Caenorhabditis elegans: one gene and its partners. The protein of the gene in region 4 interacts with the protein of the main gene of each other region in a pairwise test. Each region holds a gene or a part of one and is shown on either strand. Other genes may lie near its edges. The genes, in order: ifbp-1, ham-2, dve-1 and nhr-91.

Region 1 (5,023 bases), on a different chromosome or scaffold from region 4:
CTTTTGTTTATTCTCGAGAACAAATACATAAACAATTTTCATCTTCACATGAATACTTTTACCGGAATCTCCTTTTTCCATATTTCAGAGTGTGCTGCAAGACACACTTCACTTGATCGACATGATCAATTGCACAATACTCTTCAAACTCAATTCAGCAATTTGGTATCAGTTCATTTTTCTGTCCGTCAGTTTTCTATCGATTCATGCGCTGGACGGGTGAGTGGACGTTGGTCGAACGTGTTGATAAGAGTTTCCGGAAACATTTACAGAAGCGTCATGCTATATTTCCATACTGAGATACATCCGCAATGGTGTCGCAGATTGTTGAAGCCCAAATCGAGGACTGGAACTATTTTTGTGAACAGATCTAAAATATCTTCCTTCCATCCTTCTGATTAATTCTAATCATTCGAAGTTTTGTAGAATTTATACCGAGTTTTCACATTGAATTCTTGGAATTCGTGAGAGAATATGTGAAAATTTGCAATTTCTCAAACTATATCTTAAGTTTTCTGATCAAAGCTTTATTCAATTAATGAAAAAATAAACTGAAAGCTTTGGTGGGATTGTTGTTTTTTGATTTGTTTGGCAGTTGAATTTTCAATGTTCCAGGGGAGAATGGACTGGGGATAAGGTACGAACATTACAAAGTTTTTGGACTGAAAAAAGAAAAGAAACCGTAAATCCCAAAAGCAGTGAAAAGCGTAATCGAGGAAAAGGGAAATGAGAAAGGAAAAAAATCTCAAGATTTATTACCAAATGTCCCTTGAAATCACACCGTAGTTGGGACCGAAGAGAGAGAGAGAGAAAGAAAACTTGGAAAGGGGGAAAAAGTAGAGATCGTGGTGAAGCAGACAAAAGCATTGAGTGCAGCTTTGAACGGTTTCAGTGGGACTGAGAAAAAAGAGAGATTGAAAGAAAAAATATTTGTGCCTAATGTGCTCCGTGACGTCACAGGTTATCAGTTTTGTGGTGACGTGGCGGCAGATGTGGAAGAAGCCGCAGAAGTTGTTGTGGAGGCTGGAGATGTTTGATTGGCGCCGTTCTGAAAATTAATTCATTCAGAAAATGAAAAAAATCAGTTTAAATAATAGATGTTAGGGGCATGCAACATATTTATTTGAATCCGATAATCAATTTTTTGCATGCTAGTCAATGTCATATGTTAGTAATCACTTACACATGAGGTAGAAGTGTTAATTGTGGATCGTGTAAGAGTGCGATGAGGGTGGGCTCTTTGAGCATTTTGTCTCCGTCTCAACTGAAAACCATGCAAAATGCGGGTGATTTAGTTCCAAACATAAATAACAAAATTGGACAAACAAATTAGTTTCACACAATCTGATAAGGGCATACCTGTGCAGCTGCCGCGGCTGCCGCGGCGAGAGTCGCTGCGTTGGCACCCATCGGTGGAGCAAGACCGTGAGCTTCTCGGGTTCTCTTGAACTCGTCATACTCGTCACCGAGGATTTGTGCAATTTCTCCTTGCATGAATGCCCATGGCATTGCTGATCCGACTAATGGACATTTATCGCCTGATGGGCAGTACATATCACTGCTCTTGCATTGATCCTTGATGCTGCTCCGCGAGCATGGGAAGCAAAACTTGTGAATGCTGACTGTTGGGCATTGTACAAAGTGGGTGTCTTCTAGACGTTCATTGCACAGTGTACATCTCAAAACTCTCTCAATTGGGGCGATCCCTCTCCGATCCTTAACTCCCGGATGGTCTGGTGAATGAGTTGAGGTTGGCGAGGCAGTTGTCGTTTGGGCATCGCCTGAAAAATAGAAGATGATGATGATGAGGGGGTGATGACCCTGGGTGCCAGGCGCCGACAACGACGCCACAACCAACTACACTACCATCCTCTAAAACCGGTTCCGTTTTCAAAGTGTTGACCCCATATCTAGCCCTTTATTTCTCTCGAGGTCACTCATTCAACTCGCTACTCTTTTCTTCTAATTCTTCTAAATTCGGCTGGTTTTCTGTCGGGTCTATCGGTATTACGCAATTCGAGAGGGTGACAGAGAGACGATACACGGGCTAATCGGAGAGAGAGAAGGGGGCACTACTACTTTACGCAACAACCGGTTTTTTGGGACGATGTCAATTTTAAATTCTAACTGACATACCTCTCTGCACTTTTCCATATATTTCAGGCTTCTGCTCTTCGTCAGATTCACGTTTTCTTGGATTTGAATAAGTTGTGCTTGGAAGCATGCTCATCATGAATGGAGCCAAGAGATGAGAATTTGGGCCCAAGCTTCGAAGAGACTGTTGAATAAGATCGTCAACCGCCCGAGGATTGGCTTGTGTCATTTGCAGAAGTCGTTGATGGGTCAGAACTTGCTGAAAATAAATTTGTAAACTATTGCAGTTTTCAATTTTATATGTTTACCTCCAAGTTGTTCATAGTTGGCACATGGAATGGGGACGTGGGAAGTACCGTTGGCTGAGGTGTCCTTTGTGGGCTTATCCTTCCGATTCCATTAGCAGAAGTGACTGGTAATGTTTGAAGGGGTTGTTGTTGTGTAAGTGTAATATCTCGGAGGGATGTCTTTGCATTCTGTGGATCACTGATTCCAACTCCTTGGAGTTTCTTTTGTTGGCGTGTTTCTTCAAGTACGAGTTCAATTCTGAAACAGAAAAAGATATTTGGTGACAAAAAACAAAAAAAGTTCAATTGGTCTTGAAACCTTTTTAAAACTATAAGATCGTGAAGTCCTGCAATTTATAAAAAATTTCGGCAGAAAAATCGTCAAAAAAATATGTTCTTTTTCTAATTTTTTTCAAAAAAAAAATTCTTTAAAAACTTTAGGAAATCTATTACAGAACAAACTTTTAGCTTGCAGTCTTATAAGAAAAAGGGTGTCAAATTTTCATGTCCTGTATCAATATAAGAAAACTTGTGACTTTCACTTTGGAAAATTTTAAAATCGAAAGGAATTTTCATCATCATTATTTCCAAACAAACCTGTCTGATCCTTCATAATTGACGCATCCTCTGCAAACTGGCTCAATATAATCATTTATGATTGCCCACGGCCAGCGTGGCAAATCACACAGGTAACATTGTTGTCTTGGTAATTTCTCATTTGAATTATTATTCGCCTTCATTCCAGCAGTTGTTGCAGTTAGAAGTGAAGCAGAACCGTTGACAGAGGCCAATGAGACGGCGTTCGGAGCCGCGAGCATCTGGAGTGATAGAGAATAATCGACAGTATTATTGTTGTTAATTATAGAAGGTGTTGGAGAAAGAGACATCGATGCCTGCAGAAGAGCAGCCGACTCAGCGAACGAGCCCATTTCCACGAGAGGAATGATTGCAAGAATGATGGGGTAGAGGAATAGGAATGGCGCGTTTCAAGTTCGTGATGGAAGAGAGGGAGAAATTCTAGAGATAAGAAAGATTCCTGACCGAGACGAATAGGGTCGAGAGGTGAAAAAACTAGGCATGGTTTTTTAGTGATAAAAGAAGAAAAGCCGGCAGCTGATAACAGAACGCTGATGCTCTGGTTGCACACAAACAGGGTTGTTCCATGACTTGGTAAACTATTAGGGTAATCGAATATTTTTTTGTATTATTTCAAATAAACAATGGAAAATATCAAAACCATGAGCATGCGTGGGTCCGAACTATTACAGCGATGTGTAACACTTTTTTTGGATGACGAAGAACTCTATGAATAATCGACGAATAGAAGGAGACAGTAAGGGGCGAAGCACTGAGTGACGCATTGAGCACATTGTATTACTATAGTTGTGTACAAAGAATTGGCAAAGAAAAGCTGCAGGAGAAAAAATAAAAAGAAAAAGAGGTGGGTTCCGAGTCTTCGACCTCTCCTCATTCATATTCCACAAGACGTATGGATAGTGCATATCATTAGCATCGGATCTGCATCTTAATAAAGGAATTGGAATGGAAGAAGGCAACTCAAAATTGGCTCCGAAAATGCAAAAATGAGGAGACTCCCTCTGTTTTTGAGACCTTCAAATGTTTTGTTGGGGGAATAACTATTATCAAAAGTGATCAAAATTTCTGACTTATCACAGTTGCACAAAACATCAATTTGCTCAATTTTCAGATCAACATGTTCCTGTTTCTAGATTTTAGATGTTTTGTTATTTGTTATCAGTTCTAGATTTTCCTAGACGCTATAATGGCTAATTGTCAACAAGGCTTGAAAGGTCACTAAACCCCTCCTTATTGGAGAAAAACCCTTCCCAACAACTGATAAGCGGTACGAAGACCAAAGTAGAGGTGTGTGATTTCATTTTGAAAAGATAGAAACACAAGTGAAAGTCGAATTGGCGAGTCATGAGAATAAGTGAGAGAAACCTTCCGATAAGGCCATCCATAGATGTGCTAGGCCGACCAATATTTATTTGGAGCATAGTTCATTGATACTGAAAGCTCAAGAAAAACTATATGAAAGAAATATGGAGATTAGATCTCTCTCTGTGACATGGTGCACCACGTTGCACAATGGGGAAGAAAACGTGGATGTTTGGATGAAAGGAAAATGAAGAGAAATGGGAAGAAATGCAAATTTCATGTTGGCACAATAGATATGCAAAATAAATGGGGGGAAGAAGAATTCTCGATAAGTGCCTTTAACTGAAAAAAAAGATGATTCAGAAAGAATTATCATATTGTTTTAGAAAATTATGGATCTAAAAATGTAGAATAAACAATGTGTAATTGCACTACTGATATTTTGAACAAAAAACCTAAACCAAGATAATTTTGTAAACAACTTTGTTTCAACTCGGGGCTTTGAGCAGAGCATTTGCACATTTACTTTTTTTCAAGCTTGAGAAGGTGCTGTTAAACTATTCATGATTTTAAGCTGATAGGACTTTTCATCAGTATCCAAACAAAAAGAGCCGATCTTCCCACATTCGTATTTATAACTTTTAGCAGGAGTTTAAAATTCAAAAACGGGGTGCAAAGCGAAGTGACGGTCAGAAAACAAGAACAATAAAGAGGGTAGAGAAAGAAAAAAACACAAAAAATAG
Region 2 (6,927 bases), about 11 Mb from region 4:
GACAAGGGAGAGTCACAAAAAATTATCTAAATATTAATTCATTTTCGAGAAATATTTTAAGCATCTATTCTGCAATAACATAGATTTGACTATTTTTGGAGTTTTATATGGTTTTAGAATACTTTAAATACACTCCTGAGAAATTTTGAATAACAATTGAAGCCAAACACAAGTTCGTAAGTATTTCATCTAGCAATTTTTCGTTTTGATGTAAGAAAACGAAAGCTGCAAAAAGGGAATCAACTAGTACGAAATTTCTTGAAGCTGAAGTTTTAGACAATCGACTGAGTACATCAGGAAGAAATCAGAAATGAATCATGCTCAACCTTTCACTATGCTGATTGTGACGTCTAGTGGGTCGAAAAGGTAAAAATGAATTTTCACATCGCTTCACCTGAAAGCACATTACCCTCTGAAACGGGTTCAGTTTTGCATTCAAACAAAATGATGTTTTATGCGAGGATAACATCATCTTGTGAGAGTTTCGTTTTTGCTAGTTTTTTGTATGGCTTATTACTTCCTGCATTTTGAACTTTGAAAATTATTTATCACAAATATAATGAAATGAAATCATTGAGGGAAGGAAAAAGTCAAGGCGGGAAAAAAGGGTAATGCTATAAAAGTCAAGAAAAGGACCAGAAGAAATAAAAAAGGAAACATTTAGAACAATGAAGTAATGTAAAGGACGTTCTAGGTAAATCGCTGAGTGCATTTAAGGCTACGTTTTATTGAAGCTATTGCAACAAAAAAGTAAAGTAGATTCGGATTGTTTGGAAAATGTCCACCAGTTTCTAAGATTGCGGTAAATACAATTGTCAGGAATGAGAGCACTCTGATTTTTTTTGGAAGTTTGAAATATTTGGATGCAAAGATAAGAAGTAGCTACGAGAATAGGCATTATGTACAAAGATATAAACGACAATTAGTTTAAAAGCCAACCAAAACCGCTTTAAAAGCTGTTGGTTCTTTGATTCAGAGTATTTCGGAAATTGCTCAAAGGATTGTTGTATTTCAATGGCTCAAAATGCTGATTAGAAACAAGGAATGAAAATGACTACGTGGTTCAACTAGATTTGATGACACCATCAAAATCGGAAATAAAGAAATTGAAATCGTTTGGATCTAGGGAACCACTGAGGGACGGTTCATGTGAATCAAATTGTTCAACAACATTCTCATCGCAGGATTTTGAAATAGATTGTTCGGCCCTGGAGATGGCATAGGCATCATCGGAGGAGGCAGCATCACGGGTGGCATCGGATTCGGTTGAATTTTGCGGAGGAAATCCACTTGAACTTGCAACTCTCTAATGGTCTTTTCATAGGCACGACATTTGTCCTCAACTGCAACAAGCTTCCCTCTGGCTACCTGAAACATCATAAACTTATGTAAATTATTAAAAATATCAGTGGGTGGGGGATAACTCAGTCGGTAGTGGTGGCCGCTGAAGAACTACAGGTCACGAGTTTTTACAGTGCGCGCGCTTCTTGTAGGACACCCCTAAATTTGTGAAGCATTGGAATACATACAATTCTTCAGGAAAATTTTTTGTGATATTTGGAATCGAGTGTGTCAAAAAACCTCGAATCCGTTTTCATAAATTTATCATCACAATTGAAAGCACCCGTTTTGCTATAGGACCCTGAGATTTTAACCAGCTGAAACCTAGCGTGAACTTGAAAGTGGAGCAGTCCATGACTGGATTATCAAACTTAACCTAAAGACTAATCATATCACCAGAAGTACTGTACCTAATTCCCAGATTCTCTTCACATAGCGCTCGCAAAATGGATGGTTTTTTATTTTTTTTTTTCATATTTTAAATTATAATTCAAAACCATTTAAGACAACTTCCTAACCTGACAATCAAAGCATTTCAAACTTTCGCCCGAATGACTAGACGATCCACCACTGATGTGAGAATCCGAAACCGTTGGAGAAGGCTGATCATGGGAAATGTGGATGTTTTTGTCATCAATCGTCATTTTCAATGGTGGTTCGCCCTGAAAATTTTGAAAGTTTCATAATATGACATATTAAAGTTTAATGGGGTGAAAAACAAATTTTCCTCAAAATTTCAATAAGTTTTCCTTACATCATCGCCTTCCACATCAATATCAGCATCGTGTTCCAGTTCTCTTTTGAAAGTTGGTTCAGTCTTGACAATGACTGACCGAGGGCTGACATCACTGCTTTCCACTTCAAATTTGATGTCTTCTTCAGTTGTCTGCACTTCTAAGTCGTCATAATCGCTAATATTAGAAGACTGGATGGAATCCTTAAAATGTAATACATTTGAATTCAAAACATCAAAGAGTTGTAACGTACTTTGGACGGTGTTTGTTGCGCTGCCAGATTAAGGGCCGCCGTGTTGATGGGATTGTTGGCAAGCCACGCTGAGAGGAACTGTGAAGGACCCATGTTAGAAAGATCCAGGGGGAACATCGATTTGGAGTCGGGGCTTTTGAGCAGTGTCGGGAAAATGGATCCAATGTTGTTATTGTTTGCAGCAACTTGTAACATACGCTTTTGCATCAACAAATCAGGCGAGAAGGGTGGAGACTGACGCGGGGAGCCCGACTCGGATGTGCTATCTACAACTGCAAATTTGTATTAATGGATTTCAAAATTTGTGGGTAGATCTTTACCATCTGAACTCTTAGCTAAAACAGCCGCTTCCCCCGGTGTCCCATTTTTCAGCATACTCTGCATATGGATGTGAAGACTTGTTTTGTCGGGAAAAGCCCAATTGCAACACCGACACATAAACATTCGGGTAATGTTGTGTACTCGATACATGTGACTGCGTAGTGTATCGTTGCCTGCAAAATTGTTTCTTAAGGTTTCCTAATGACTGAACAGTGAGAGCAGTGCCGGCTCATTTCGCACTCATTTTATTATGGTAATTATCAAATACTATTTGAACCCTTCTCCAGCTTTTGAATTCATGTCTCAATGATCTAAATATTTGTCGAAAGTAACATGTAAATGGCTATTTGCCAACCCCAACTGCATTGCTATTTCCATATTCCACTTAATTGCCATTCTTTGTGCCACCGAGCCTAACTGTCTATCAATCAAATGAAATTCGCAACATTGGGACACTATACGCGCGCCCGTAAAGGCATGTTAGGTGCCAATGTGACGAATGTTCTACGACGACCCCCCTCATTTGCATGTTTGTCTGAATTTGAAAATACGCACTATAGAAAATCTATAGAATAGCGGATCTTGCCTACCGACAAAGCAGTAACACAAAAAAAAACGACAAACGCAGGGGTCAGGCTGTAAAACATTTTCATGTTATGTTTCGGTATTCTACTGGTTGATCCGCTTATTGTTGGATTGCGCACGAGTAATATAACAAATCCTGTTGATCTGCCTGCTAACATGCCGCCGTATGGATTCCACGTATAGGCGAGCGGTGAAGTAAGGTGTGAAAAAAGCTGGGTGCTTTGGCCGAAAGTTTCTTGAACGACCCCCATGCTCAGCGAACCGTAACAAATGATTGACGGCGAGTGAACAACCAATAAATTGTAATGTTGGAAAGGTGGTAGAAAAAGAAGAGGTTGCAATTTTTGTTGCGGAAGATGGGGAAAGAAGACAATCGGTGGTTTTTTTTTTACTTTGCCCGCGCGCTGGCCCTATTCTTCGCTCTCAAGCTCACTTAGCGACAGTGGCGTGCCAACAATTAGCTGATGGATGGTCATCAAATGACTGACCTTGGAGGTTCATCCTACCTTCCATTCCAAGAAAAGAAACCATTAAGTAATACATACATACCGTCGGTTATTTATGCCTCTCGCTCTCTTAGGAAGCCGCTCGGGATGGAAAGATGGGGCAATTAGACAATGCAAATAGCAGACGTGTTATTGTAAAACTGTGGCGTAATATGGTCAGAGGTGTCTTTTCAAAAGATTCTTGCACAAATATTAGAGTCAATTTGTTATTATTTAATACATGATACTGCTTTCCATTATAGCTGGAGACGCTCCAGTGGGAAATTGAAAAAAAATAACGCCGAATTTGCCAAACGACGCTACAAAAATTTTTTGAAATTTTTAATTTTGTTTTTAAAATTGGTAATTACTTTTTTGAAAGTCGTCGATAAACAGTCGCCTACATATTTTTCAAATATAAATATTCAAACATTGTAGAGATCCGAACATGCGGCATTGCTATAGTTTTCTCGAAAAGTGGCAAGAACACAGTTATTGCCACTTTTTGACTGTCAATAATGTTGGTCATTTTGGCTCTATATAAGTGGATGTTAACCATTTCCCCACTGGCACTACTCCACCTTTAAACTTTTTGCTACTAGTCCAAAAGTGCACATGGTTGTTTTAAAAGCTTAACAGATATTACTAAATAGATACTCCTAATTGACAGTCGGAGCTATCTCGGTATTTGCACACCTCCTCATTCAGTTTGCCATGCCATATAGATGTCTACAATTAAGAATACAGTAGTAGTTGGAAAGGGTGTCAATATTTAGATAACCAATGTAATTTTTTGGCGGAAAGAAGGAGACTGTATCAACCTTGTTTGACACATGCCCAATATAGCCACGTGCTAATCGGAGGGTGTGAGTTGAGTTTAAGCTTGTCAGTAAACAATGCCACTGAGCTTTCGCGCATTTCAGATTATGGAGACTTCCGATCAAATAAATGTATTGGGAGGGAGATTAGAAAAATGTAGAAATGCAATAAACTGGTAGAAGACAGAAACTAAATGCAGCAGGAAATAGAACATTCGTTCAGAATTTTAATTCAATTTTGAAAAAATAAATTAGAAAGTTAAACATCACCTAGAACCCATAATTTTTTATTTTTAGATTTTTAGATCAATTTTAAATTTTCAATAGAATAAGTTCCGTACAATTCAACAATAGCTATGTTCTCGAGTTAAGTTTCCCTCTCTTTTTTCTTATTATCATATGATAAAACATGATACAAAACTGTGAAAACATCAATAGCGGCATAAATTGTTTCGCTCTTTCTCCCCTATTGTTAGTCAAGCTCCTGCTACTCTGATTCATCTATTTCTCTTTTTTTTCTCAAACTTGCATTTTCAAACTTACTTGGAATTTCGTTGTTGCAAGTGGTACAGGTGTAGCTTTTAAAGTGAGCCTGCATCCGGTGACGACTCAGAGACGAACTGTGGCAGAATACTTTTTGGCAAATCGAGCAGGGAAATGAGCCTTTCAAATCGGGACGTTTTAGCTCTGCACGATAGGGCATTGTCTAAAAATGTTTTTGTTATTTGATGAAGCTTTTAGAAAATGGTGCTGAAATTTTCACAAAATCGAATTTGAAAGGAAACACTAACAAGGAAGAAGAAAAAAACGGTGGACAGTTTGAATGAAAGAGCGCTCATAGATGAACAAGTAGGATGGGCTACCAAGACCTCCACTACTTGAAAAGTTTTGCGTACAACACTCGAAAAGGTATTCAGACGCAGCTCTTCTCTCCGGAGACAAGAAGGTCGTCGCCGGCTGACACCAACCAGGTATTTACACCCTCACTTGATACTGTTTAAAAGTAGCGAAAAAGCATACATAGCAGCGATTGGACAATGCATTACAGTAGCTCAAGTATGGCGGGGAAGGTAAGAGTGCTCGAGAGGAGGAAGTGAGAAAATAACAGAACATTCAAAATCGAAATTTGTCACACGGCTTCTGCAATCTTAAAATGAATACTACAGTAATCCGGTGACCTGTGCTCTTGGACTAACAAAATGGCAAGCAGTAGTGCAAGAACGAGCTGAAGGCTATGACTCCCCCCGCCTACCCGATTTTTGGAGGCGGGGCATACCATGCAGAATAGAGATAGTGAGCGACGGGACGCACGGGGTGAGGGGAATGGCATCAAGCACAGTCGGGATAGTAAGTGGCAACAATTTTGGCTAGCAATTGCGAGTTGATTAGCTTTCTCAATTTTGAAAAAAAAAAGTTGGAAGCGAGTCTTAGATAGAAGCACGATGCTCTTAGGAACAGATGTGGGCAAGCTGTTCAAGCTTTTTTTTAGTATAGAACACAAGCGAATAACAGTTGGGAAACTTCTACCAAACACGGCTGACCCAAAAAAAAATAGAATGACGCGAGGGATACACCAAAAAAGCCCTCAAACCATAGACAGCATGATTGCTTGAGTTGAGGATTGCGCGCATCTTCGATTCTCGTGTTCTTTTTTCTTATTGGACGACCACAACAAAACCAGTTTTGTAAAATTGATTCGGGTTGCGCAATGCTAGAATAAACTATCCAACATCGCTATTATATTCGAATTTTTGTCTCTCTCTCGCTCCCGCTCCCCCTCTCTTCTGACTGCCATTCGACCCCATAATCACACAATGCTTTGAGGCCGGTTTTCTCGATCCGCATCAACAAGTTCAACTATCTCTATTCAATGTGCTATTTTAATTGGGCACACACTACCAAAATTTTGAAAATGTTGAGTATGACTGTTGAGTTTCTATCTATCTGTATTATTTTTTTGGGCCTACACACGCCGCAGCAACTACAGTAATTGTAGAGCGGTGACGGATAAGAGTGTGAATCTTACCCCGTTGAGATTCTCGGCACGAACAGGGATTGGCCTTGGCCGTGTGTCCAGGCGCTCGTATAATAAGGATTCACCTCCTCCCGCGTACAGGTCGCGTTCCTTTTCTTGACGGCTACATAATCAGTAGCTATCATAGCACATCTTGCCTTTTCCCGCCAAATGTCTATCTGGTATATATCTCCGAGAGAAAAGAAACAAGAGGCGAGTAAGGTAATGGAGATATAGCGAATGGATAAGAAAACTGTTCCATATACTACATCAAAAGACAGACAGGTGAACGCAAAGTGACAAGAGGTCTAGGTGGGCAAGTAGGAGGAACATATGAGAAAAAAGGGAAATGGAAATGAACATTTTTTAGAAGTTT
Region 3 (7,663 bases), about 15 Mb from region 4:
CTACTTCATGCTTCTTGTATAATCCCATCCGCGGGGTTGGTGTCTTCAAGCAACCGGGATTACTCTTTCCGGCTTATTCGAACCCCCTCTCCTTGCTTCAGTATTGCTCCAGATTGCAATTGTTTCAATTAGCCGCTACGATGACACCTAAACTAAATCCTCTAGGCTTAGGGGCACAAACATTCGTTTGTTAGAACTGATTATGTGGAGATGGAGCAAGATAATACAAGTGTAGAATACAATGATTAATCAATGAGTCTCACAGAGTTTTGCAAAAATTCTGAAAAATTAGATATTTCCAAAACCACGTTTTATACCAATTGTTGATTTTTGACTCATAGTAATTTTAACAATAAACCTTGTTAGATAAATTTCTAGAAACGGATTTGAGTTTTGGTGTGGCGAAGTATCAAAAGTGTACACATTATCTTATCGACAATAATCCCAAACCCACTCGGAGCTCCTAAGTAAATAGTGACTTGCATTCCAACCACTGTCTTATCTATAACTGGCAGACCCCCTCCTCTCCCGAAACGCGCATCCTTAAAATTTCTATAAGTAACTTAACCTTTATCTCTGCTGACACATCGGGACAATTCTAATTCTGATGCGCCCCTTATGCGATGTGTAGCGTCGTTATTTTCGATTTGACGGTGAGGAAAAGAGAAAGGCGGGGTTATAGGGTAGAAGAGTGAAGAGAGAGAGAAAATCTTGAACAAGTGGATTGTCTTTGTTCGATTCTTCTTTTTTCCTCCCTCAACGACGAAGACTAAGACGATGCCATACCACAACGACCCGAGGCTTTTCTCGAACTAGTAGTACATGATCGTTTCTACAGATGGGGGAGGGTTGGCAACCAGCCCCATCTTTCTTTTTTCCACTGTTTTCTACCTCACCTACCTATTTCTCCTCATCTTCCGCATTCTCTGCCTCTTTTAGACTCTTCCATCCGGTTCCTACATTATGCCATCTCGATCCCGACCTCCCCCCCCCTCAACCCCTCCTTACTACTTTCGCTCCATTCGTCGTCTTCAATCTCTTCTTGGCGACGACGTGGTCGCCTTCTTTCAGATTTTCCATATCAAATCTTGTTTTCGTTTTCGTTTCCATCCATTCTCATCTTCAACTTGTCTTCAGTAGCGAGTAAGAAGTAAGAAGAATGAGTACATGTCGCCTGATTCGTTGTTTTTATTTGTGTCTTAAGATTTCTAACCCCCTCTTGGACAGACTGCAAATCTGTTATCCAAACTTGGTGTCTCCCGTTCTTTTTTCATTAATCGCCTTAACAAATCCCACTATCTCCCTTTCTTCCATTTTTGTTGCTCTCCGCTCTATTCCATCGCAATTACGGTTGAATAGGTGCGCGCTTTCTTTTCCACCTTATTTGCTCCAACTAGCCACAACTACCATATCTCTTTTGCTCTTGCTCTCTCTCTCTCTCTTACTCGCTCTTTTTCTATCTATCTTCCCCGCATCATAGAAAGCCCCGCCTCCTCCATATCTATGAAAAGTGGGCGGGAAGTCCGCACACCAATCGGAGCGCAGAGCTAAATCTATCCAACTATCTTCTGGCTCTTCTTTCGATTCTTCTGCTATTAGTTTATCTCGATTTCTCATTTTTATTTTAAAAATTTCAAATATAAAGTTTCATTCAGCTAGATATGTTCCCAATGAGGGTAATCGTGGAAACAGTTCGCTCTCAACATTGCTTGACATGCTCAAACGAAGGACACATGATCACAGACACTTATGCAATTGTCGCAGGGACCACTACATTAAATCAACTCGTCGAAACTGTACTAGCAGCTCTTGGACATTCGAGCATGTCGACAAGTGCTCGAGGTTAGTTGAGAAAACATTTTGAAAATTGCCATAGACCTCGTGACTAGCTAAACTATTTTGGTATTAGTAGTACACATTCCTTATCTTCTTTTCTTTCATTTTTGTTCCTTTTTTTCATTCGCCAAAAACGGATAACAGATCTATCTTGTGATTGACAGATTTACCCTACTCTAGGCGAGTAAGTAATTGAGTATTGAGTGGGATCTCCTTTTCTTGACAACTACTTTCAGTTTCAATTCAATCTCATTGAAGCATAACGTGGTTGCGCAACTTCGCTATGCTGTAAGAAGATATACATCTTCCTCCTACCCCGAGATCACCCACTTTTTTTTGGCTAAGACGACCCTACCCACTCATGTGTTTTGTTCTGCGCCTCTTGCCAGATCAACGGTATTTCTGCGATTTCAGCGCCCTCCTCCCATTTTCTCACTTTCACGTTTTCTTCCACCTTAGTAGAAAGTGAAACAGACTGTCGAACCTGTTCTTTTCTCGGCGGCTTTGCCTCCTTGGTATCTACTTTCCCAAAGATTATGCAATCATGTGAAAGGGAAATCGGAAAGAAAACGAAGGGAATTGCATAGGGTTTTTTAAAAAAATATTTTGCATTTGTTGTCCGAAAATCGATAATTCAGAAATTTCAGGCCTCATACAAGTAAACAACTGGAAACCCTTGCCATTCGATCAAATTACTGAAAATTTAGATGACACTGTGGAAAACCTCTTCAAAGATATATCATCACATGTAGTGCTAAAAATATTGTCAAAACCGTAAGTGTTTCCTGAAGTATTCTTGTTTCACTCCGCACTATAACCTCATCTATCCCATCCAATCCCGCTCCAACCAGACGACTGTCGATCGGGAGGTTTGTGTGCTCCGGGGGGCTCATTCTGTAAAGGTGAGCAAAATCGCGCCTCACAACCCCTATACATCCTCTTTAGAACTACTCAAAGAAAATGGCAAACATAGGTATGTACAATGCGCGCCTCGCACACACACACATATATATAAACACATTCAGACATGTGTACAGGAGAGAAAAAGTGATGGAAGGAAAAAAGGGGGAAAACTCATTGAAATTGGCGGTGGCTGAAAAAAGATACATTTTGGGGCGCATTTCTAGTCATCAAAAGTCAAAGGAGCGGGAGGGTCCGGGGACCAACAAAATTATTTACCTAGATCCCCGTATGACTTATCCTATCTGTTTGCGGATTATTGTCGCTTCCTTCATTTCTTTATATCGTTCATATTCTATTGATATTTGGCATTTAGTTTGCTATCAAACATGGCACTCACAAATACCGCAAAAGCTTTAGCGCTTTGTCCTGCGACGCAATTTTTATGAGACCAATGAAAGCACAAACCATTCACGGACCGAATTCGATTTTTATAGCCCTATCCCTGGGCACACATATGCCTATACACACACACAATTTTATGACCATCATCATGATTTTCTTTCAGATCTACGGATTCAAATTCTGTGCAATGTATAAGTGAGGTGAAGAATAAACTCCTGAAAGCTGCAGTAAACAAAAATCCCAATGTTTTAACAAATGTGGATAATCAGCAGGTTAAGGTGGGTAGCTGCTATTTTCTCAATAATTCAATTTCAATTCTGATAATTGCAGGATGTCATCAACACAATCATTGCCGGAGATGAAACACTCTTGAATTCCGAACAAATTGGTGCAGTCAACGAATGGCTTGATACGCTGGAAACGAACGAGGATCGTAGAAGGTAAGATAGCGCCGCCCATGCAATGAGTTGCGAGCCAGTCAGCCAACCAGCCACCGTAATCCCGCTGTGCGTGTTGGATGTGAATAGAGGGGGGGGGGGGGCAGAGTTTGAGAGAAAAGACAGAGAGCAGTGACACGGGGGGTAGCGCCAAGTTAAGCCGCTATTCGGTGCTCGAGTTAAGCCCCCTCTCGGCTTGTTTGTAGAAATAGACTTTATGGATTGGTTAGGAATTTTGAGCTGCAGGCAGGATTGTGTATACATTGTGGTTGAAGGAAAAGTTATGAGAGAGCACCCATTTTGTTTATAAATTTTTGGGGAAATTTAGGAGATGGAATTTTGCTGTCTCTAGATATCAGGTAAAACCGATTCCTATCGGATATCATATAAACAATATACTTTTCCACGTCTGTGCATTCTTATTCACATCTGAAAAGAGAGGACTTAACTTAAATAGTTAGTTTCGTTTAATTTCCACCGCAAGGATTCATTGGAGCTCCCCCCCCCCCCCCGTCAGAATTTCAATTTCCTGAGGTTGTCTTCATCAAAAACCCGCCTTTTGTTTTCAAGTGTCGTAACAATCAGAATGGATAGGCGTCGGGGATTAACAAGCCGGCAGATTGTATCATTTGCTCTTTCTTTGGTGCCCATCATCACCATTCATCTTATTAGTGACAGCCCCCACACACAATGTGCGAAAACGATGATTGTTTGGGATTGGAAAAGAGTAGGGGATGGGTTCAATGGGAAGGGGAAGGCAAAGTGATGAAGATATACGTGAATGAAGTTAGAAACACTAGTTTATACCGAAGTATCTAAGAATTGCTTTGAAGACAAGTTTAATCTATAAAAAATTGTTTGAAACTGTAAAATCGTTATATAAAATTGATTTTTTTTACTTTATTACCCATTTGCGTAGCAGAAAACGTTTTTTTTTTTTTTTTTTTTTTTTTTTTTTTTTCTAAGCCTAAAAATAAAAAACTACACACGGTTTTATTTTAAAATGTTAAAATTTATTTTTTCAAAATGAGGTGAAATAATCCACAAGTACCAAAAATTTTCCTTGTTCTTAGTGCTAAAATAATAAAACACCGTACGCCTTCTATTATTTGCCAACTTAAAATGGTTGAGTTCAAAAATTTTTGAAAATCTAAAATTTTTAGGAGACGATTCACCAAATATGTGGCTTGTCAGAATTTAACAATTACCAAAACTCAAGTTTTATTTCGTAACTCAACTATAAATTCCACTAAGCCGGTTGACAGTACGGTTGATGCCCGGATAAGAGAGCAGTATTAGACTGAGATGAAGATAGCTAATTTCAAAAAAAAAACGAGACAAAAGACAAAACGATCAAATTCGGTCGTTCTCTAAGTGCCCTCCATCATGCCATTGTGTCTTTCTCAATTTCTCAAGAGAAGGAGGCTAAGAGATCAGGACTGGTTTTGGCCCCTTGTTGACCCGTGAAAACATCTCTGAAACTGCCACTGCCTGCTGATCTACATTCCCGAGACAACAAAGGGAAGAAGTCAAATTATAAGTGATGGAGACAGTTGTTTTCCACATATTCCTTTATTGAAACTCCTTCTTCCAACGAGAAGAAAAAAGGAAAAAGAAAAAGCTGAAATCAAGTTTTCCAGTCATCGAAGCACATCCAAATTTTCGAATTTCCAACTGTACAAATAATTGAGTTGTGTTGTGAGTAATCTTATTGTGACATACAGACACAAGAGAGGATACAAAACATGTACATATTGCTCTGAGGGAATGGGAACAGCAGAATAAAGGGCAAAATGGGAAAGGACGGCGGTGACGCATTCTGTAAAGAGTAATAAAGAATAGAAAAAGGGAGATTGAATGCGTTGTGTGCATACAGTGATATATCCAAACTGTTACCCGGGGGGGGGGGGGGGGCGCAAAAACAAGAAGAAGGGGACCCAGTATAACTATCAGAATGGAGTCGTGATTGGAGAAAAAGTGTCAGTAAAAAATGATTAAAAACTATCCTTACAAAAAACTTGTATACGAGTAATTACACCGTATTTCCTCTATTTGTATTGTACCACATTGTTCAACTTTAACTGTTTATATCTCAGTTATCGTTTGTGCTATTCGAAGTTGTTAACTAACAAAATATTTTTTCAGTTATTTTTCTATAGATTCGTAGTTAAAAATATATGTATATCTTTAAAGTGTATTTATACTCTTTAAAATGAATTAAGATATAACGTTTCAAAGTTAGGTAGTCGGGTGCAATACAAATAGAAGAAATACGCTACATGATTTTCTTTTCATTCCACTCTCAAGAAAGATAAACGCCTGCTTTCATATTACTTTCAGTACACATAATAATGTATGTATTTAATTTCAGCCCAACACAAGTACAAAGATTCAACACTCTTTACGAAATTCCACGTCTTGATAAATGGTTCAAATCCGATGCAAATCCATCTAAACAAAAAATGAACAATTACTTAAGCCAGCTCAATCAGAGTCCGTTCAGAAAGAACAATTCCAAGATCAGCTATCAACAGGTGAATTTAATGCGCCTACATATTACTCCATTAATCAAATGAATTTCCAGATTTGCAATTGGTTCACACAAAAACGCTCGAGTTCCCGTACCTTAGCTCCAGTAGACCTAGTGCAGGTCTCGTCAGCTCAGACAGCGGCGCAGCTGCTCCCGGGATTCCAACTCAACTTGCTCCAGTCCCTGTTTGGAGAACAACGTCAAAAATTTGATTTTTACGACAAACTGGATGAAACCAAGATTGTCGGCGGCTCCGACTCGCCATCTCCAGCCGATGATGAGATTCATAGCAATTCAGATGAAACTATTCAAGATACTTTGTTTTCCATCAATATTAAACCAGAACCGGAAATTGTAAGTTACGTTTGACTGTTTGTGCCATAGTTAGGTTGATTAGCGTTGCTCGTGCTGAAAAGCTTTGAAAAATCACGCTAAAAACGGATTTTCGGCTATTTCGATTCTGATTCACATTAAAGATAACATCTCCCAAATTGCTAAATATTACCGATAAGGTTATAAAGACCTAACACTACGGCCGAAAATCTGAATTTATTCCAAACTGTCAGCGTCGGCTGAGCGCCAATTAAAAATATTTTTCGACACAATTATGGTCCACCTTTAAAAATTATTCATCCCAAAACAAGCAACATTTCCTACAGGATTCAATTGCATCCTCCCCGGATATGGCAAACTCAATGCGCGAATCATTGTCCTCGACCTCCCCAAAGCTTCTCAGCGGGCTCGACCTCGGAGCATTCAGCACCCACTCATCATCCACCAACTCCATGCAAAACGCCAACTCATCAGGTACAACAAAGAGCTTTAAAACAGACAGGCTAACGGAAAAGAGAGGGAGATGGGTTGAACCAAGAACTCATAAATTAGAAGCGAGCACACACACACAAACACACATAGACATACACAAAGTGCGCGAAGACACATAACAAAGGGAGAAATGTGGGGCGTCGAATTTCGCACAGACAACCATTACGATCACTGAGATCTGAGGAAAAAAAAATGAGGCTAGGTATTGTGTTTACAGAAATAAAACAGAAAATCAACTGCAAACTTGATTTTGAGAAATATTCTAGGGATTTTGTACTGGCTCAAACTTATCGAGAAGGTGGCCATGTTCATGATACTCAGTCTGAAAACCTATATTGGTTGCTATCTCTAAAACGCTCTTAGATTGCGTTTGCTATGCATATGAAAAATGACTGCATAAAAATTCTCTATCTTTTCGACAAGAAAACTTTAAGGTGGAATTTTACTTCTATTTTTCGATAAAATCACTGACGCGGAACGTTTGAAAAAATTCAACGATAAAGCAAATAATCTCCGTTTTAGTGTTTTCAGCGGCTCGCTCACGCCTGATGTTCGACCCACTCACCGAGCTACCCGTCCTCGAAAAATGGTTCGAAGAGAATCCTCACCCGACATGGATGCAAATCGATCAGTACACACAATGCTTGAACAACTGCGCTTATCGAGAGAATTATCCGCATATTAGTCAGCACAATGTGAAGGTAATATTCTATATTAATACTGATTACTA
Region 4 (7,946 bases):
TTTAAGATCACGTGAGTTGCACGATTATCACATTAGTGAGATAAGATGTACTTATTCTTTCATGATTTTTCCGGTTTTTTTTTTGAAATAATTTTTTAATATTAATTTACATTAATTTACATTGATCTTTATTTTCAGTGGAAAACATTGGGAAAAATTTGGCGAAAGCTTGCTAACCACCGCCACCGAATGGAATGGTCCGGGGCGTCGTCATAAAGAAACGGTGAAGGCATGGATGGTGATGTCTTCATTTCTAGCAGACCGTCTTGCTCATGCTTCTCGCCTGGCTCACCACTCACCAATGCTAACTCCTCGCGTTCAGCTGTTGACGTAAGTTTCAGAGTTTTCAAATCAAAAATTCCGGAATTTTTATTTTTTAGCGGAAGATCGGCGTTCGAGTTCAATAACTGACTTCGAAATGAAGCAGTTTCAACAACATAACATATGGTTTATGTATCAATTCTGATTCTGTAATCTGTAAAATTTAAAAAAAATGTTAAACCAATAAATTTTTTTCTTTCGTAGAAAAATACACTACAAATTGTTTGAGAGAGTGGGTGAATGAGAAACGAGATAGGAACAGAGAATGGGGAGAGAACACAAAGACATCACGAATTGCACACAAATTATTCCAGAAATTCACAACTTGAAGAAAAGTAGTAGAAAATGATACTGTAGGATCCAAAATCATAGAAACTATTTGATTATGTTTCCGACCACACGTCTATGTTATGATAGATAGATCAAACAGATTGATTGATAGAGACAGAGAAGAAAAAAAAAACGTCAACTTTTTTGGTTTCGTGGGAAGAATTGGAAAGAGGCAGGGGAATTTCAAAAAAAAAAGAAACGAATAATAAGTGGAAAAAATGAACTAAATTATATTGCACAACCGAGAAATAAAGCTGTATTGAGGGTATTGGGGAAGACTACTCGTCGAACACTAGACGTCGCGGATTCTTGCAAAGCAGGAATGGGACGTAGAACATTTTTGAATGAAGCAGCACTGACGAAGCGTTTCGCAAATCCGGAAGCCTGGAAAATTGCGAACGTTTTATCATGGAATGATTATATAATATTAGAGCCTTTTAAAGTAATGTCGTATATCAGAATATGTACGACTATAATTTATTTTGGAATGAGAACCAAAGTCAGTGACTGGACAGGTATCATTAGGAAAACTATTCACTTTTGCCAACTTAGCAAATTTTACGGATATGAATAAGCAATTAAAAATTATGTCAGGTGGGCTTCCAAAGGTGCACATCAACTTATTGAAAACATGCATTTTTTCTAACTCTGATACAATTTTTAATAAAAACTCACCAGTCAAGTATCTGTGCGAGGCTCGTCGTCTGCGCGTCCTCTCCCGGCTGGTGCAGATGAATTTGAAGTGTTTTGACAAAGTGATCCTGAAGCGTGTTGACCTTGTCGATGATACTCCTATCAAGTGTCGAGTCGGCGGAGAGGTGAAGAAGAGTGATAGCTTTGATACAGACGTACGCTTCCGGAGAGACCTTGAGATTTGAGAACGAATGGAGGAGGGTCGTGAAACGGGTGACAAGCGGACCGGCTTCTCTGGAAAATTATCATTTAGAATAAATAAAGTTAAGTTTGATAGTCTACTTCGCCACGTGTTCCAATGGAATTTCTTTGCCGAGCACCAGTGATAATCGATTTTGAAGTAGCCGAAGGTTGACCTGTGGGTTTGTGAATGAGATCTCGTCAGTTTCGTCTATCATTTCTGTTGTGTCGGGGGAGTCCGGAGTAAAGACCGAGCACGCGTAGTATCCAGCAGATAGTAATACTAGCTCGGCCCATCGTTGTGTCAAAAGGTGGGTGTGTGCTTCTACGGGTAGTTCGTCGAAAAACGGCAAGGTTTTCGTCCACTCAACAAGTTGCTCCACAATTTCATCTCCTATTCTGGTTAACCTTTTGCAAGCAGGGGCAATATCGCAGTTTGCAGATGGATTAATTCGGAGTCCTTTTAGGTTGATGAGCCGGTCTAGGCAGTCCATCTCAACCAGTTCCTGTAAAATAGCAAAATCGAATAAGGCAATAATTTGTTTCAAATTTTTAACTGGCTCATAATGCACTAGGGCTGCTAAAGGGCTGCGAGGGGCTCAGCTCCAGCCCCGCATTTAGAGCTGGGGCTGAGCAACGCAGTGCGATATGTAGTTGTTTGGAAGCCCCCGACACTTTCGAGGTTCCGCCGGTCTCGAGCCACTAGCCACCATGGTATGGAAACCCCGAAAGTGTCGGGGGCTGCCAAAAAACTACATATCGCTCTGCAAGTGCTCACTCACCTTTATTAACTTTTTCCCACTTGGAAGGCTCTGAAACGGCCTTCTCTCCTGCTCCTCCACATAATCTTTCGTTTTCCTAATGATACTCCTCCTCTGCTTGTAGTTGCTATAGATACTGTTCCCATTTCTCCCGCCGGGCATGCGATCTTCTCTCACTGCTACAAAAAGACAAACAATTTTGCGGTTATTCTCCGTGCCGAAAAACTAACCTTCGGTTAGCATGCCCTTGCTGATGCACTTTCGGAAACGACAAGATTGACACCTGGAAGGTCAATTACGGTTTATTGTGAACTTTTTTTTTGTTGAATGGAATTTTTCGAATTTACATACCTGTTTCTATTTTGTTTGTCAATTTCACAGCAGTTGTCTTGACTGCAGTGATATACTTTTTTGTTTTGAACGGACCGCTTGAAGAATCCTTTGCACCTGAAATACAGTAGTTGTTGAGCATTTTGAACTAGCTGGGTTTCAAAATTTGAAAATTCAAGGTTACAAGTAACAAGTTACGAGCAGGTGGAGCATATGGAACAAATCAATTGACCAGCGGCCAAATGACAGTTGTTGACATTTCAGAATCGAGAAAAATGAATGCAACAGAACAAAACAAGTGGAAACATTTGGAAAACGAGACGGACGGCGGGAAAAAAAATTCAAAATCAGACGACGTGAGAAGTGGCGGACTAGAAGAACCAGAAGACGGCGGAAAAGAAAATGTGGGGGAGGAAAAGGTGGTGGGTTAAAATGATAGTAAAGTGAAATGCGCAAAAAAAAAAGAGGCAGCAACAGAGACGTCTCTTTTTGGGGTCTTCGAGTGACCTTGTTCTTTAAGATGCCCTTGCAACCTACCCACATTTTCCGTCTGTCATAACTTTTTTCAAGTTGTATGACGAAAAAAGGGGAGAAGTTACTGGTGTCTTGAAAAAAAAACGTGTTGCAATTTTTCTAGCTAATGTGGCATTTTATTTTTTGGACTATTTTTTTGTTTCTACTTTTTGGCTTTCTGAACCAATAGATTATCCGCACGTGGTGCCATGTTGTCCCATTACCGTTTGATCTAGAAAAAATGCGGGAAATTTTTGCCCAAAAAATGTGACGTCAGCACGTTTTTAACCATGCTAAATCAGTTGCTCTGCGTCTCAACTCCCGCATTTTTTGTAGACCTGCGTAGATCAAACCGAAATCAGACACTCTGGCACTAAGTGCATCCGAGGAAATTTTTATCTATGGGTTGCATGATTTATAGGTTGACTGAAATTTTAAGTCAAATTCGAGGCATTCCGCTGTTAGAAAACAAACTATGCCATGCATTTTTTATGCTTAGAAATGGTATTTTATTCCGATTAAAAATGTAAAACCGTTCCACACAATTATAAGCATTAAAACTTAAGCACAAAAAAAAGTTACGTGAGCCTATACAGAAATAAAAATAAGTTTTTTTTATTATTTTCGTGTTAAAACTTAAATTTCTAAATAAATTTAAGAAACAGCAAGGCAGCTTAAAAGTTTTGAAAATAGAAAATATTCTAAATTAAAATTTTAAAAAACTCTACGAAAACTGTGCAAAAGGTCAACTTAAAAGACAAAAATCACTTTAAATTGGGTCGTGGTCATCAGAAATGAGAGGTGGGGCAGCGAGTAAGATGGGGAGGAGCGGCCCCGAAAAGTAGAGGTGACGAGAAGAGGTACGCAAATGGCACCAGTTGAACCGACCTTGTCCGACGCGATTCCCTAACAAAACCTTGTCGACCTCCGACATTTTTTTCCGGAGAGACAATATGTCCGATTGATAATGATATAGACTAATATGTATTACTTGAACTTTCTCTAACTGAGCTGTCGATTACTGAAACCTACTTTGATCGTTATCCGAGTGTCCTCTGTACTTTGAGTACGGTGTGGTACACTGATTGTTATCTTAGGAAGGCCGTTCTGAACTTTCGGGGGAACTTTCGCAGCTCTCCCGTTTTTGTGAAATAGCTTGATTGTTATCGTAAGTGCGGGTCAATTGCGTTTTTTTTTATTCAGATAATTATTTCGACGGACATCAACTAAAAATCACAGTTCTTTACAACAGTACAGTCAAATAGAAATATTTACAGCAAGCTGAGATGAAATATTTACAATGAGCGCCTATAATTTTGGGAACGTTTATGCTGTAAATGGAAAAATTGTGAGTTAAAAAAATATTTTTTTAAGGGTTTATGATTTAGGGTTTATTCAGATAGTATCACTTTTATAGTAACACATTGAAAAAAAAAGAAACAAGTTCTTATGGTGCGTGTGACCTAGAGAAAACCGTCTAAACCGATTCAAAGTGCACTTCCACTACCGACTTCACCTCCTTCCAAACCGAGGGTCAACCGGGAGGCGAGAAGGGCGCTGTAGTGAGAAACGAATGGTCGAGGTGCGTGACACATTTGGCCGGCCGTCGCCCTTCGCAACATTTCACTGACTGGGTGTTCGGCGGTGCGTCGTGTCATGCTGAAGGCCTTGACCATCATCGCGGATTCTGAAGGCCGCAAAATCTGACTGCCCCCCCCCCCCTCCAGCACCCGAGGCGGACGTGTGTCTACGTTGACGACGACGGCGGCGACGGCGTCAGCATCCCCTCCCCAGCATCGGATGAAAATGTAGCGCACTGGTGCTGACAACTGGACTTTCACTGGTGTGGTGCCCCCCACCACCACTTTCGCTTTCCCGATCCGATCACTAATTCCGTTAATAGCTCTCCCCCTTCTTCTCTCCAGACAGTTTTTATGTTGATCCTGGAAGAGGGCGAGCGGAACAGATTTCTGACCACCCGGGAAAAGAAAAATAACAATATGAAAACTTTCGATAGAAAACAAGATATAAGCAAAGGGAAGAAAGTGAAGTGAAACTAAATTAAATTATGAAATCGGCATGGATATTTATATTAGAGTAATTTTCAAAGCATCACTATTTCAAAGCATCAAACAGTAAAAACACTTGCCTAATTAATTAATTACAGAGATACAGATTGAAAGATAATTCCAGATGTATATTTTGAAACAAAAAATTTGGTTAATTATGTAGTGCTGAAATAGTATTATATGGCATCCTATTAACATCAATGTCTTAATTGGAAGTACCACAATTCAAAACAGAGGTCAGAAAACAGCAGAAACTGCGTAAATTTCAAAATACATGAAAAAAGTTTTTTGTTGTTGCTCGAAGTATGAACTTCCCCCCCCCCCCTCCGTATTTTTAATATCTAAATGCACATACCCTTCACAGGTGGCAGCACCGTAATGTAGACCGGTTGACTTGTCACCACATACCGAGCACAGCTTGCTGCTGGATTTTGAAACGGCATTCTGTAATTGTTCTACTACATAATTTCAATAATTTTCATTCAGTTCGCATACCGAAGTACTGTCTGTTGTTGGAGTTCCAAGAATAGAGAATAGAACTTTGTTTGCTGCAGAAGTGGAGTCGTCGGTTTCAGAGTTTGGGCTTTCGGTTTGACTGAAGCTGAAAATTTAAAATTTTGAAACTAAGCTCTCCACATCTTCAGGAAAATGCAATTACCTTGGAGTCATCGAGTCTCTCATATCCAATTTCATTGGCGGCACCAGTGTGGATGCCAAATGTGTCAGGTAGAACTGCAACAAGTTGGTCTGTGCCGCGAGAGCCAAGTTGTCATGGTCAAAAACAGGTGGCGTCTCAGATGTCGAGTCCGCAACGTCCATCGCACTGAAAGAGGCTCATTAATCAGAGGTCATTAATGTATGCAGATGGAGCAGGCAACATACGGTAGGGACAGTATAATGGGGTATGTAAATGGGAGGGGGAGCAAAGAAGAACAATTGGTTTAGACTTGTAGATGTCGTGAAAATGCGATAATATTTTTGTTACCCAGTTTTTGAGCGATTGTATAGTAATCAGAACGGAAAAGAAGATAGGAAATGAGCTCCCTCGTGTGAATAAATGTATTATCAAGACCGAACAAAGTCAGAATAATTGTATAGTTGTTTTGAAGCAAAAAAAAAGTAAAATTGTGTGTTCGAAAGAGGTACAAAATCTTCCTCACTTCTGAGTCAGAATCGCAGTGTACAAAAAGCGCGGATGGTAGGGCCGGTCGAGTTTATCGAAGTGAGATCAGAGTGTGCAAAAGAGCATTTCAAATGACGGGACGGTGGAAGGGGGGGGGGGGGGGTTCGTCTACCAATTTTCAAGGTCACGCATTTGGCGGCGGAGCTCGTTGAGAGCCAAATGGCAGCATTTGGACGTCACCGCCTGGTACTGAGAGCCGTTGCCGGGTGGGTTGAGAAGGTACAAAACTGTAGTGGTAGGTTTATGAGAATAAAAATAACAATAGAGTTTTTAACATTAAAAAGTTACTTGTTTGACAAATCAGTTTTGCTACAATTAAAAAGAATCAATTATTGTTCCTAAACATTCCATGAACAGAAAAACAGATTTTACCAATTTAACTTGCAAGATACTTTACGGTTATTTGCAAGAATTTGCTCAATTTGAAAATAGAGAAAAAGCTTATCAAACTTATGTTCCTATAGTATTGAAACTAATCATATTATTAATATCTTGAAACCAAACCTATATATCTGCTGTATACAAATAGTTGTTACAAAGGAATATACAGTGAGGTTTAAAAAAAAATTATTCCAAAGTGATACAGTTTTTCTATTGTCCGAAATAGTACATACCGGTTTGGTTTGAGCCTAAAAAACGTGGTAATCATCATTTTGACAGTTATTGAGTTAGTTTCTAGAAAAATAGCGATTCTCAACGATGGCGGAAATGCAACAGATATAGAAAATAAATGAAACATGTTAATCATAAAAGTGATAAGCTATCGACCAGACTTTTTCAACTAGTTTGCTAGTTTCAAAACTTGTAACACATTGTTGCTACATCGCTGATCCAGTAACCAGGATACTAATCGAACAAAAATGAAAATGCGAGAAAGAAAAACGAAACGCAAGGCGGTTGAGGAGGAGAGGAGGATAATTCAAGAAAGTACAAAGTGAGAAAGTTAAACTGTAGGTCGGTAGGTCACACACACATTCACACAACAATCGAGAGAGAGACGATGGTAAGCCGGAATGGATGAAGGATGGAGGGAGGGGGGGGGGGGGGGACAGCGCGCGGATATTGGCGCAAAAGCAAAATTGGGTGAAAGATGCATGGAGGGCGAACGAAATTTTGTGGGTCAGACCTTGAAATTCGTGAAAACCGCGTACATTCAATCGGGCCTATTGCCGGTCAAACGAGAGTGACAGTAGGTCTCTCCTCCTATTGCCCCTGCCTTCCACCGGCGCCTCTTCTTGTCTCCATTTCCTTTCACTGGACGATCTCATAAGGTTATTTTCAAAGTGCACATAAAATGGGGAAAGAGGAGGAGGGATTGGTGAGCGGGAGGGAGAAGCTGTGGGGGGGGGGGGGGGTATAGGCGGATGATGAAGCAAAGGGTACGTGGATGAATATGAGTCTTTTCTCTCTATGAGCAGCACACACGAATTCAAATTTAAAGGTGAGAGGGTCGCTGCTATACACATGAGTGATTACAAAGCCCAGAGAGTGTTGGATACTAATCAGGGTGCAGCACGAGCAACCGTGGTGGCTAATCTTATCGTGGTTAGGAGGAAAGGTTGTAGA

Evidence for each region.
Region 1: the proteins of nhr-91 (region 4) and ifbp-1 interact in a two-hybrid assay, tested with the Caenorhabditis elegans proteins (2 studies listed by BioGRID).
Region 2: the proteins of nhr-91 (region 4) and ham-2 interact in a two-hybrid assay, tested with the Caenorhabditis elegans proteins (2 studies listed by BioGRID).
Region 3: the proteins of nhr-91 (region 4) and dve-1 interact in a two-hybrid assay, tested with the Caenorhabditis elegans proteins (2 studies listed by BioGRID).

Annotation. Positions count from the first base shown.
Region 1 is NC_003283.11:13,369,589-13,374,611, forward strand, and holds ifbp-1 (Interferon regulatory factor 2-binding protein 1 & 2 zinc finger domain-containing protein), read right to left. Parts: upstream 3,433-5,023; 5' UTR 3,311-3,432; coding exon 2,979-3,310; intron 2,641-2,978; coding exon 2,403-2,640; intron 2,354-2,402; coding exon 2,137-2,353; intron 1,782-2,136; coding exon 1,360-1,781; intron 1,265-1,359; coding exon 1,184-1,264; intron 1,049-1,183; coding exon 965-1,048; 3' UTR 507-964; downstream 1-506. Other genes in the region: srx-125 (7TM GPCR serpentine receptor class x (Srx) domain-containing protein), read left to right, coding at 89-219, 273-402.
Region 2 is NC_003284.9:4,553,007-4,559,933, reverse strand, and holds ham-2 (Zinc finger protein ham-2), read right to left. Parts: upstream 5,250-6,927; 5' UTR 5,241-5,249; coding exon 5,081-5,240; intron 4,436-5,080; exon of another isoform or gene 4,292-4,435; intron 4,002-4,291; exon of another isoform or gene 3,560-4,001; intron 3,192-3,559; exon of another isoform or gene 3,053-3,191; intron 2,823-3,052; coding exon 2,649-2,822; intron 2,601-2,648; coding exon 2,329-2,600; intron 2,279-2,328; coding exon 2,096-2,278; intron 2,004-2,095; coding exon 1,860-2,003; intron 1,369-1,859; coding exon 1,123-1,368; 3' UTR 526-1,122; downstream 1-525. UniProt on the Caenorhabditis elegans protein: Probable transcription factor that acts downstream of egl-15, to promote migration of the HSN motor neurons from the tail to the gonad primordium during HSN cell differentiation.
Region 3 is NC_003284.9:427,792-435,454, reverse strand, and holds the start of dve-1 (Homeobox protein dve-1), read left to right. Parts: upstream 1-1,655; 5' UTR 1,656-1,661; coding exon 1,662-1,842; intron 1,843-1,954; exon of another isoform or gene 1,955-2,483; coding exon 2,484-2,610; exon of another isoform or gene 2,611-3,304; coding exon 3,305-3,419; intron 3,420-3,471; coding exon 3,472-3,581; intron 3,582-5,949; coding exon 5,950-6,112; intron 6,113-6,162; coding exon 6,163-6,462; intron 6,463-6,767; coding exon 6,768-6,915; intron 6,916-7,455; coding exon 7,456-7,634; intron 7,635-7,663.
Region 4 is NC_003284.9:15,307,449-15,315,394, reverse strand, and holds nhr-91 (Nuclear hormone receptor family member nhr-91), read right to left. Parts: upstream 6,021-7,946; 5' UTR 6,017-6,020; coding exon 5,856-6,016; intron 5,799-5,855; coding exon 5,693-5,798; intron 5,642-5,692; coding exon 5,553-5,641; intron 4,996-5,552; exon of another isoform or gene 4,702-4,995; intron 4,027-4,701; exon of another isoform or gene 3,892-4,026; intron 2,733-3,891; coding exon 2,637-2,732; intron 2,569-2,636; coding exon 2,516-2,568; intron 2,465-2,515; coding exon 2,307-2,464; intron 2,031-2,306; coding exon 1,627-2,030; intron 1,579-1,626; coding exon 1,327-1,578; intron 1,154-1,326; exon of another isoform or gene 1,085-1,153; intron 1,036-1,084; coding exon 930-1,035; 3' UTR 501-929; downstream 1-500. Other genes in the region: glb-28 (Globin domain-containing protein), read left to right, coding at 1-11, 139-330, 381-411. UniProt on the Caenorhabditis elegans protein: Orphan nuclear receptor.